3 linked regions of the Mus musculus genome follow. The protein of the gene in region 1 interacts with the protein of each later gene in a pairwise test. Links are inferred from orthologs where the notes say so. Each region holds a gene or a part of one and is shown in the gene's direction. Other genes may lie near its edges.

Evidence for each region. The genes of interacting proteins can lie anywhere in the genome.
Region 2: the proteins of Efhc2 (region 1) and Clic3 interact in binary tests that used the Homo sapiens proteins (3 or more experiments, as listed by UniProt). The two-hybrid records come from large-scale screens. The link is inferred for Mus musculus from reciprocal best matches to the Homo sapiens genes EFHC2 and CLIC3.
Region 3: the proteins of Efhc2 (region 1) and Ncdn interact in binary tests that used the Homo sapiens proteins (3 or more experiments, as listed by UniProt). The two-hybrid records come from large-scale screens. The link is inferred for Mus musculus from reciprocal best matches to the Homo sapiens genes EFHC2 and NCDN.

The regions. Positions count from the first base shown.
Region 1 is NC_000086.7:17,225,942-17,229,441, reverse strand, and holds part of Efhc2 (EF-hand domain-containing family member C2), read left to right. Parts: intron 1-2,852; coding exon 2,853-3,104; intron 3,105-3,500. UniProt on the Homo sapiens protein: Microtubule inner protein (MIP) part of the dynein-decorated doublet microtubules (DMTs) in cilia axoneme, which is required for motile cilia beating.
Region 2 is NC_000068.7:25,455,588-25,459,272, forward strand, and holds Clic3 (chloride intracellular channel protein 3), read left to right. Parts: upstream 1-1,255; 5' UTR 1,256-1,291; coding exon 1,292-1,327; intron 1,328-1,844; exon of another isoform or gene 1,845-1,944; coding exon of another isoform or gene 1,945-2,073; coding exon 2,074-2,183; intron 2,184-2,261; coding exon 2,262-2,387; intron 2,388-2,527; coding exon 2,528-2,634; intron 2,635-2,716; coding exon 2,717-2,892; intron 2,893-2,977; coding exon 2,978-3,136; 3' UTR 3,137-3,185; downstream 3,186-3,685. UniProt on the Homo sapiens protein: In the soluble state, catalyzes glutaredoxin-like thiol disulfide exchange reactions with reduced glutathione as electron donor.
Region 3 is NC_000070.6:126,750,630-126,754,831, reverse strand, and holds the start of Ncdn (neurochondrin), read left to right. Parts: upstream 1-1,402; 5' UTR 1,403-1,828; coding exon 1,829-1,861; intron 1,862-2,264; exon of another isoform or gene 2,265-2,315; intron 2,316-2,750; coding exon 2,751-2,891; intron 2,892-3,978; coding exon 3,979-4,202. UniProt on the Homo sapiens protein: Probably involved in signal transduction in the nervous system, via increasing cell surface localization of GRM5/mGluR5 and positively regulating its signaling. Required for the spatial learning process.

The DNA.
Region 1 (3,500 bases):
TTATCCCCTTTCCTTGTCTCCCCTCCAAAAATACTTATCCCACTCCCCTCCCCAGCTCACCAACCCACTCACTCCTGATTTTTCAGGATAACTACTATTATAATTGTTCTCTCCATAGGTTGATTTTATCTGATTTTTACTGTTTTCAAAACTTATAATTCATTTCCTTTCAGATTAACAAAATTTAAAATGAAATTCCCTTTGATTCTGTTTTTTAATCTCTCATTAAAAGTTATGTGTGAGATCATTCCCCTATACCTGGCTCTTCGCCTTAGCAAATTATTCTTTGATGTTGTAGGTATAAAGTCCTCCGGTGAAGTATATGTATTATTAGTCCTGGAATATCTAAGGTAGAATAACTTTATATCAATGTAAAAGATTTTCGAGGTTTGGGCTCATTTTTTATGTCTTTCATGTGCCGTGAATGATAAATACAAAGTCTTTTGAAGCCTCAGAGAGAATCTGAAGGAAAAAGGACCATATAAGTTGTTGCTCCTTGCATATGTCTACATGTATCCACCAACAGTTATTACTGTATGATAGTGATTGTGGATGATGGTAAATTATATTAATTTCATAAAATTCAACATACTGTCAGATCTTATAGTCTTCTAGGGAAGAAAAAGTTTGTGGCAATAATTGGAGGTAAATACCAAGGAAACTCAGATGTTCTAAATAATTTTCCTTCAGACTTTGGGAACCATTTTGGTATTCCATTAGGGCAAAGAAAACTCATGAATAAAGATAGAAATCTTGGGAAAATTAAGAGTTTAATAAGAGGCTTTTATGGATTTAGTTAAGTGTTTGCTGCTGCATTGATATGTAAAGTTAAACTATTTTGCTTAAACTGAACAAGATCTTAATGGTATATGACCAATAATGCATTTCTTGGCACTTATACATTAAAAGCATTTTAATTCATAAAAGCAGAGGTCCCATAATTTCACTTAAATATCAAGGATAAGGATAGTAGAGCCTCTAGAAGGCTTTTTTGTTTTCCTCTTGAAATAAGAGTAAGGCTAGACTGCCCTGAATAAACCCAAAATTTCAGGAATTTATAGAATGATTATATAATTCAATTTGGGATAACATTTCCCAAGTGAGTCTTTTCTTACATAACAACATCATTTGCTTATACAAGATAGAATGGAGGCAGCTATACTTTAAGACAGAGCTAAGAGGTTGCAAATTGAAGGAAAGATGCTCCAAGAAGACCATGGATCTCAATGATTCTAGAGCAGAGTCTAGCTAGATAGGGTTTCTGTGTGGAGTGGAAGTTCTCCATTGGCCATGTTCCTATGTCCATTTCTTGGATATCTGAAATTTTTTGAGCAAAATTAAACCACAAATACATTTCTTTCTCTTATCTTTGCATATACACACATGTATGTACACATGCACATGCATGCATACACATAGACATGAGTGATTTCTGGTAGAAAGACACATTTTTTAAAATATTTTTTATTATTACGTATTTTCCTCAATTACATTTAGAATGCTATCCCAAAAGCCCTCCCCCCCACTTCACTACCCACCCATTCCCATTTTTTGGCCCTGGCATTCCCCTGTATTGGGGCATATAAAGTTTGCAAGTCCAATGGGCCTCTCTTTCCAGTGATGGCTTACTAGGCCATCTTTTGATACATATGCAGCTAAAGACAAGAGCTCCAGGGTACTGGTTAGTTCATAATGTTGTTGCACCTACAGGGTTGCAGATCTCTTTAGCTCCTTGGATACTTTCTCTAGCTCCTCCATTGGGGGCCCTGTGCTCCATCCAATAGCTGACTGTGAGCATCTACTTATGTGTTTGCTAGGCCCCGGAGAAAGACACATTTTTAAAGTAAAAATATAATCAGATTAGGATTGGGTTTATAAATCTTAAATCAATGCAGGTCAAATCTTAAGTTAATGCAGGTCAGTGTTTGGAAAATGTGTACACCAAAGTAACCAGTATGAAAAGATGTAAAATATTTGGGGCTGGGGATGTAGCTCACCCATAGAACATTTCCACAGCATGTGTAAGATGCTCAACAACATGGCAGAAAACAAAAAAATAAAAGATACAGACTATTGCCCATAACATCAAAATATTCCTTTGTTTCCCTTTTTAGTCCAGTCTCCTGAAGACACTCCTTCTTGATATATCCCCTCTACAGAAACAATTACTTGTAGCTGCCAGTGGCCACTACAAGCTGGGGTTGGATGGGAAAGGCAGCGAGAGAAATAATGAGCCAAGACAAATTTCTCTGATCAAGGCCCAATGATTACTTATGAATCTGAGTTTATAAAGAGAGGAACCCATCTCCCACTTTGCCAGGATCTCATTGCTCTGTCAGGATCTTGTCAGGAAAACAGGTTCAGCCTCTCAGCAGGTAGTGGCATCTTGGAGGAAGCAGCAGATGTGGCAAGACAGTAGACTTTACTTAGGTCAGAGGACTCCACCCTAGGTGAGCTAGCAACTGTGGCAAACAAGGTCTGAGCCAGCCTGCTCAAGGCTCGGGGGAGGGCACAATTACTGTTCTGGTTTCTCACTATAAATTAGGTTTGTTCATTCTTAATAAAATTTAAGGCTTTAAGAAAAGTCCACTTCCAACATAACCCGGAAATATAGTTTAGTATGTTAAAATGTTATTTAACAATTATGAAAAGCTTCCTAATATTTACCTGTATTCTTAAGGTTAAAACTGACTGTGAATTTGTATACCTGTATGGCATAGTATTTAATTAAAAGCTTTTTAAAAAGGATGACAGAATCGTCTACAGAAAAAAAAAAAAAACTTTATACTATCTGCCTCCCAGACATGACTACATAAAGCTTGCTACATTTCTTCCTCTTTCTCCATTTGCAGACATTAGAGTTTGTGGATCCCTTTCGTCCCTATCAGTCTTTTGACACCCTGAAACGATTCATCCAGTATGATGGGAAGGTTTTGCGTTTCTTCTGCTTGTGGGATGATTCAACCTCACTGTTTGGGGACCGTAGAGAATTTGTCCTGCATTACTTCCTGTGTGATGGTACTGTTGAAATCAGGGAAGTACTGCCATCTAATTCAGGCCGGGATGCTATGTCATCATTCCTTCGGCGGGGTAAGCTTCCCAAGGTAAGCAGTTTTGAGTATGTTTGTGGGCCAAGAGGTTTGAATCATTGTTTGGAATGGTGTGGATGGCTCTGTGATGACAGTTTTCCTCTTCCCAAAGGACCCTTGCTTATGTCAAGTTGACAAATCAAACAACAGGACAGCCCCCCTCATCCCCCCCCAAGGGAAAAAACCAAACTAGCTAGCACACTTATGGCAAGTAAATGAAAGGAAGATGTGTAAAGGAAGGAACCTAGTTTTTGTTTATCACTGTATTATGAAATTTTGGACACTCTTGAAGTTAATTGAGGAGCTTTGAGTGGAATACTCAAAAGCTCCTATAGCCTACCAAAGAGATCCCATGGTATTGATCTGGCTACAGACACACACACACACACACACACACACGCACCTACTCAG
Region 2 (3,685 bases), on another chromosome or scaffold:
TCTGGTGACCACTGGCAGTTGGGAAAGGCTTCAGGGCTGCCCCACAGTGATGATTTGTCATCTGCAAAGGACAGAAAACCACAAAACAGAAAGCTGACCATGTCAGTAAGAAGCCAAAATAAAACTGGCTCTAGGAGTCAAGAGTCGGATAGAGGAGGAACCAAGCCTCCAACACAAATCCAGGTTCCAAGGATATCAGAGCTGTGTTTCACTTCAACTCTGGCTGAGGTCAGGGAAATGACAAGGCAGGGCTAAGGAGGAGGGAAGCCTGGCACAGCTGAGGCCCTGACTAGGAGTCAGGCACGTGAGCAGGTGAGTGGGCAGGTATGGAGCCACCTTGGCTGCACGGTGTAGCCTGGAAGGCACCAGCCTACCAGAGACAGGAAAGCAATCCCTAGGTCCTGGTCTTAGCCAGTGGGCAGTGCTGGTCCTCTGTGAGCACAGGTTCTAAAGAACAGCTCTCCTAGATGGCTGCTGCTGTGAAACGCAGGCCGAGATACAAAGAATGCCAAAGGCACTCCCACTGTGAAGCCCAGTGGGCTTGGGAAGGCCCAATGGCAGATTTGTGCCTGGTAGGGTCAGACCATACTGGCCCTTTCCTTCCTGCTGGGGACCTCATCCCCATTTCAGCCACTAGGTAGTAGTTTCTAACCCTTCCTGGTGCCAACTGAAGGTCAAGGTTAAGAGTAAGAAAGCTGCTCTGAGCCTGTGTGGACAGGATGGGGGCACGGAGTCCACTGCTCAGATGGGTTAAACACCAAAACCAGGCTTATCAGCCTGCCGGCCGCGAACATGTTTGGAATGCGGGTCCGCCCTACCTGACTGGGTTTTGTCAGAGGGAGGGGGCATCTCCCTCGGCTTGTCACACAGACAGGTAAACTGAGGCATTTCCCACTCATTCCCACCCCCTGGCTGGCTTTCTGGGATAAGGACTTGACAATGGAGAATGAGCCGCAGAAGGCTGTGAGGCAACTCCTGAGCTGAGATCAACCCAGTGTGCGTTCACCACACTAGCTCCCCTCACAACCACACTGAGGCTTCAGTGTTTTGCTGTGAGCCAACTTCCCATACTCACACCTGGCCCTGAGACTCAGGCCTCCTGTGGTCACTGGTAGCACGGACACTCTGGTCTTATACAGGCTCTGCTCTGGAAACCTGTCTGTTGCCTAGGTGGCTCCTTGGGGCGGGCCCACTGCCTGGGGAGGGTGGGGCATCAGAGAGACTTAAAGAGCTCCCAAGGCACACCCTGTGCCCTGGGCTGCTGCTGCCGCCGGATGCCTCGGCTCCCACCATGGCTGAAACCACCAAGCTCCAGCTCTTTGTGAAGGTTCTGGGCAGGCTGGGCTGGAAGAGGAGCTGGGCTTTTTTCTTCTTGTTGTTTGGGAGGAGGGGTGGGTCTTCCTAATGGTGCCCAAGTCCCTATCCCTGTGGTGGGTTTGAGTTGCCCCACACAGGGCTGAGGAGAGCCAGGCATCCTGGGTGAGGAGCTACCATAAGGAGGATCAGAGAGCCTGGGTCCCGCTCTTCACTTTGGCTCGTGGACCTGGCCCAGCTCTGGGAGAAAGCTTCTTAGTGAGGAGATAGATGTCAGTCTGGTAGCTGGCACCTGGCATTTAGTAGAGATTCAGGGTCATGTGCCAGACTGGGGGCTTGCCAGAGATGGCCCTTTTAGCTATCAGGCCAGTGCTCAGATCTGAGTGGGAGCAGGTCCTGGCCTCCTCTTTGGTCTCTTCCCTCCCTTCCCTGAGCTGTTAGCCTCAATACCCAGTTGTGTGGGTTAATCACTAGAGGATGAATCTCTGGCCTGCCCCACCCTGCAGCCAGTCTCTGTGACTGGAACCCTCTGGCAGGACCCCAAGCCTAGGCCTCTAAGCTCCCAACTTCTTTTGTCCTCCCCATTCCAGCGATCAGTTCAAGGGCCCTCACTAGACACTTGTAGATGCCATGCTCAACCAGGCCAGAGCCCTAGCCTGCCTCCAGAGCCAATGGCAGTGGGAGGCAGAGCTCCACCCAGCCAGGTGTCAGGATTCCTGGGTCTGCTCAGAGCCTGACACCTCTGTTCCACCCACCCAGGCCAGTGAGGATGGCGAGAGCGTAGGACACTGCCCTTCCTGTCAGCGGCTCTTCATGGTCCTACTCCTCAAGGGTGTGCCCTTCACACTCACCACAGTGGACACTCGAAGGTGAGACACCACCCTGGACCCTTCCCTGGCCTCTGCCCACCTCGGGCCAGCCACCTCCCTTCTGCCTGGTGTTCACAGGGCATTGGATGTGCTGAAGGACTTCGCACCAGGCTCACAGCTGCCCATCCTGCTGTACGATGGGGATGTCAAGACAGACACACTGCAGATCGAGGAGTTTCTGGAGGAGACGTTGGGGCCACCTGAGTGAGCATCTGATGGGGTGGGCAGGAGGGCAAAGATGGGACCTCCTTGGGGGACACCTGGGAGAGTGCCTAGGAAGGGTGCTTTGAGGCACAGTGTACTTGAGGGTCTGACTGGAATTCTCAAACTATTCACACCTATAGCTTCCCTAGCCTGGCACCCAGGTACAGGGAGTCCAACACAGCGGGCAATGACATCTTCCACAAGTTCTCTGCCTTCATCAAGAACCCAGTGCCTACACAGGACAATGGTGAGACACAGGCCAGCAGGTCCAGGCAGGAGGGCTAACCCAAGGTCAAGACAGAGTCCTCATGGTTATCATTGCCCCCAAGCCCTGTATCAGCAGCTGCTCCGGGCCCTGACCAGGCTGGACAGCTACCTGCGTGCACCACTGGACCACGAACTGGCACAGGAGCCACATCTTCGTGAGTCCCACCGCCGCTTTCTCGATGGTGACCAGTTCACGTTGGCTGACTGCAGTCTACTACCCAAGCTGCACATTGTGGATGTGAGTGAGGGACCAGCGGGTAGGGTGTGGGTGTGGGTGTGGGGCCATCGAGTGAGACCCTCACCACGCTCTGCTGCACCCACAGACCGTGTGTGCACACTTCCGCCAGCTGCCCATCCCCGCGGAACTGTCCTGCGTTCGTCGCTACTTGGACAGTGCGTTGCAGAAGAAGGAGTTCAAGTATACGTGTCCACACAGCGCAGAGATCCTGGCTGCCTACCAGCCTGCTGTGCACCCCCGTTAGCCCCACTACTTCCATACACTCATCTGCAGCCCCATAAAGCATCTCTGCCCCAAGTAATTGTGTCCTGAACGTCCAAATGGCCAGAGACCCACAACTACACCACCTCAACCCTATGGTGAGAAACATAGTTAAAGGTGGTGTCCCCAAATGCTGAAGACAAGAGAGTCCACTGGACAAAGCACAATTCACCCTCCTCCATGGTGTGGAACAAAGGCCTGGGGCCCTTTACAGCTGCCCCAGCACGGAGGCATCAGGGATCTAGGGGATTGGATTAGTCTCCCAAACCAGTCAGGCCAGAGCTGGGCGGGGTGCCCTGGATGGCCAAGGAGGGTGGGGAGCCCCATGAAGCTCAGCCTCTGGGATCCTGGCCAAGTGGGTGGGGGCAGGCCTCCATTCCTCAGTCCAGCCACAGACTGTGGGCCAACCATATCTCCTATAAGGGGCTTCTACTGTCTAATGCCCTCTGGTGGCCTCCAAGACAACGCCTCTGTGCTACCTGGGTGGGGCTTGCAAGTGTGGGACATCTAAGCCTTAGAGAGTTCTGGCTCT
Region 3 (4,202 bases), on another chromosome or scaffold:
GTGTGAGTAATCAAGAATAAAGCTTTAAGAAAGAAAGAAAGAAAGAAAGAAAGAAAAAAGTCCTAGATGTTTGAGAAAGTTACAGAACAGACTGCATGAATAGCTTTGCTTATATTTGCAAACACTGTTTTCCAAATAGCTGGAAAAATGAACAGATTGTTCTAGGAGGTCGTCTTTCCAATTTGTTCCTAGTTTCCAGTCTGTTAATCACAAGATAGCACAAGGAGAGTCAGCTAAGGAGCTTTAACAGCTTCTATTGTCAGTTGGGCACAACCACCGTGAGATGAGACCAGGCAAAGCATTCCTGGAACCCCGCCTGAGGTCTTCTACTTTGACTTCCTTCAGTTCGCTTTTTGTGCTCACTGCAGCCACCGCAGGACCCTCTAAGGGGCATAATTGTCAAAATTCTCAAGGAGGAAGGTTTTCGCCAACGAGCCCAGCCCCGCCCCCTTTATTCTGTATCAACTTTTTTTTTTCCCTTTTCTTTTCTTTTAATCTCGATGGGAAGATCATCAAACACCAGAGACAGCAACTCGGGACGAGGCTGCAGAGGTCGAGAGTATCATAAGGACCGCAGTGCCTCAGCCTGGTCTGCCCATATGTCAGGGAATAGAGGGAGCTGCCTGACCAGGCCTGAGTCCCAAAGCGGAGGGGTTCAGATTGGGACTCTGGCACCTGCAAGGCTAGAAGCAGCAGATTTGTCCTGTCCCAGCCAGGAGCGCCATCTCCGGGTCCCAACGCCGGACCAGCGTACCCGAGGCATCGCCCGTCCCGCCTCTGCCCCTCCCCTGAGCTCCTGGTCCTCGGCCTGGCAGTCAGCCGCCCCGGCCACCTACCGGGGCTCAGGGCCACATAGAGGGGTGCCGGCTCTCGGCGGCCTCCGCCTCCTCCCGATCCATGGGCTCGGGGACCCCCAACCTTCTCTCCCCTCACGCAGAGGAGGAAGAAGGAAGTGCTGGCTCCCCACCCGGACAGCTCCCTCTTGCCTCAGCCTCCCTGGACAGCGACCGCGGCCGGAAACGCCGCCTCCTTCCCACCTCCCGGGGCTCAACCCGGAAACATACTCTTCACGCTGAGCCAGTCCTCCTGCCCCCACCCTCCGGAAGCGCAATTCCAGCCGCGAGCCCAAAAGTGGGAGGAGGGGCGGCGCTGAGGGGAGAGCTACGCACAAGCGAGGACGTCCGGGCCCTCAGCCTTTGGCCGCGAGCCCTTGCGGGGCGGCCCGCACCTTTCCTCCTTAGCTCGAGCACTCAGGCCCCAGACTCGGGCAATTGCCCACAAGCAAGATGGCCGCACCGGAGGCGCCCCCCTACTGCTTAGCGCCCTGCTGTGCCATTGGTCAGAGTGCGGAGTGAGCCCAGCGCCGATTGGTCGAGAGCGATGCGGGGGTGGGGGTGGAGCTGTAGCAGCCTGGAGCCAAGAGTGGGCAACGCGGCGTGAGCAGCAGCCCCAGGCTCCCGGAGCATCGCGCCCGGAGAAAGACTTCGCCGCTCGGGGCCGCAGCCTGGTGAGCTCAGCCCCCTTCAAGCCCTCCCCTGCATCTCAGCCGGAGCCTCTCCGAACCGGCGCTGATCGATGCCGAGACTCCCCAGGGACCCTATCGCGACTCCATCGTGCCATATCTCGACATCACCGTACCCTGTCGAGACTCCATTTTGTCACAACCCCTTTCAGTATTTATCTATCTACCTATATATTTTTTTAAATTTGCCCTATCATATTTGGGGGCTGTCCCCTTCATGTCGTGATTTCGCTGTGATCTCTCCGTGACATCACCGCGCCATCGTGAAGTGTGATCTCATCGCTGCCCTGTCGTTCGACTTCATCAATGTCGTGTTGTGACCTGGCTGCGGCGGGACAGGTGGTGACCGCCAGGATCCCTTCTCCCCTTCTCATCTCTCCATCACTGCAGCCCCGCTTCGATTATCCGGCTTTTGGATTCTGTTATCCTGAGAGCCACCCGACCCCTCTTTCCTTCTCCAGCCAGTGCCGGCACCCACAGGCTGTTAGCGGGACGGACAGGGAGAGTACAGGGAGCACAAGGGGTTAATGTTGCTGCTGCTGCAGCAGCAGCTGCAGCTCCTGCTCTTGCAGCCTCTGCAGCCTCTGCAGCCTCTGCCCGAGGGAGGGAAAGAAGAGAAGGCAAGGAGGCTGCGGGGGCGATTAAGAGCCCTGGCTGGAGGGGTGGGTCCACAGGGGAGTCTTCAAAGCCTTCTCTGGAGAGCTTGCCTTCTCACTCCTGCTGAAGCCAGTCTACTTTCTCTGAAGAAGGGAGGGGAAAGGAACCCTAGAATGTCCTTTTCTTCCTTGTCGGCGTGAGTCCGGATAATCGAACTTGACCCGTGTCTGTCTGCATTCCTCCCTGTCTGTCCTCACCGCTCACTCCTCGTGTGCCTCCTGGAGAGAGATAAAACCCGGTGTCTGGTGCCAGGGGCTGCTGAGCAGTTGGGCCAGCTCCTTCCCACTTCTAGACTGGTGAGGAAAGCTGTCCAGCTGAGCAGCGGCATGCATGGTCCTCATATCCCACTTTTCTGGAGGTGACCTTGGACCAGGGTCCCTTCTTCATCCTAAAGAATTTGTAGGTCCAGCCTCTTAAAGGGGCTCCCCCAAGGGAGGTCAGTCATGAGGAAGCCACCCTTCCAAATCCACCCCCCCTCCCTCTGTGCTAATCCCTCCCTACATCCTCCACTTCCACCCCCGCCCCCGCCCCTCCTCTGCAGAGGGATGCTCAGTCCCTCTTGTGTTCACAGTTGGGCAAGGCGGGCATCATGGCCTCGGATTGTGAGCCAGCTCTGAACCAGGCAGAGAGCCGAAACCCCACCCTGGAGCGCTACCTGGGAGCCCTCCGTGAGGCCAAGAATGACAGCGAGCAGTTTGCAGCCCTGCTGCTAGTAAGGACCTGGAAGGTGGGAGGGCTGGTCAGGAGGGCCCCCAAAGAATGGGGTCAGCAAGTCTCCAGGGGTATCTAAGTGGTATTGGCAACCCGGAGGTACCAAAAAAGGCCTGAGACCTCTACCTTTGTACTCTGTTCTCTTGAGAATGGGGGAAGGGGAGAAGAGGGGTGAATAAGACTGTGGCATGGGACCACGGAGGAGGCTGCCTGGATTTGCTTTTTGGGGCGTCCCGGAGCAGATGGGAGCTGACTCATAGGGTAACAGCAGCAGGTTGTAACTAGTGCAGAGTACTTGTGGGCCGGGGTAGCTTTTCCTCGACCTGAGAGAGTAACAGGATGGGGAGTAACTAGCAAGAGGTTCTGAGAGATGACCAGAGTGATGATCAGTATGTCAAAAGTAAAGGGTCTTAGTCTGCTAGAGGAACCCAAGCTGGGGACAGCAAAGCAGGAGCTGCAGTGCTTGGGGTGGGAGGGGGGGGATGAGTTGGTGTGTGGGGGGTGAAGGGAGGAGGGAGTGCAGCAGTTGCTTGTTTGCCATGGCAACAGGGAGAAGGCTCTGGAGTCAAGGGCTCACACTGCAGCAGAGGAGGTGTTTAGGCGAAACGTAAGGGGAAATGTTTTGACATGCGGAGCAACGAGACACAGGAGCCATTTCCCGTGAGAAGGTGTCGGAAATGGATCAGAGACTTCTCTGGAGAGAAGTCCTTAGGGAAGGACCCTGAATCCTTAGAGGATTTGAGTTCTGAAGCCCCTTGCCTCCCAGGTCTTAGGCATATGGATTAATGGATTAGAGACCAGGAGGCACTCCTCAGCTGGCCAGGTGATGACCGTTTGCCCAGATGTGTAGTGAAGGGCCACTGGACAAACTCCTTTCCATGAGGCAATCAGACATGATAGGGATACCAGAGGTCACACCTGTCTTGTCTCCAAGGAGGAAGGAGGAGCTGGACCAGATGACCCCAGAATGGATCCCATTGCGTAACCCATTCCTGCAGTGCCCAGGGAACAGGGTAGGGACAGTCTTTGCTACAATTCTTCTCACTCTGCTGATAGTGTATTACCCTCCCCCCCCTCCCCCCCCCCAGGTAACGAAGGCAGTCAAAGCAGGTGACATTGATGCCAAAACCCGACGTAGGATCTTTGATGCCGTTGGGTTCACCTTTCCCAACCGACTCCTGACCACTAAGGAGGCACCTGATGGCTGCCCTGACCACGTTCTCCGGGCCCTGGGCGTGGCCCTGCTGGCCTGTTTCTGCAGCGACCCTGAACTAGCCAGCCATCCCCAGGTCCTGAACAAGATCCCCATCCT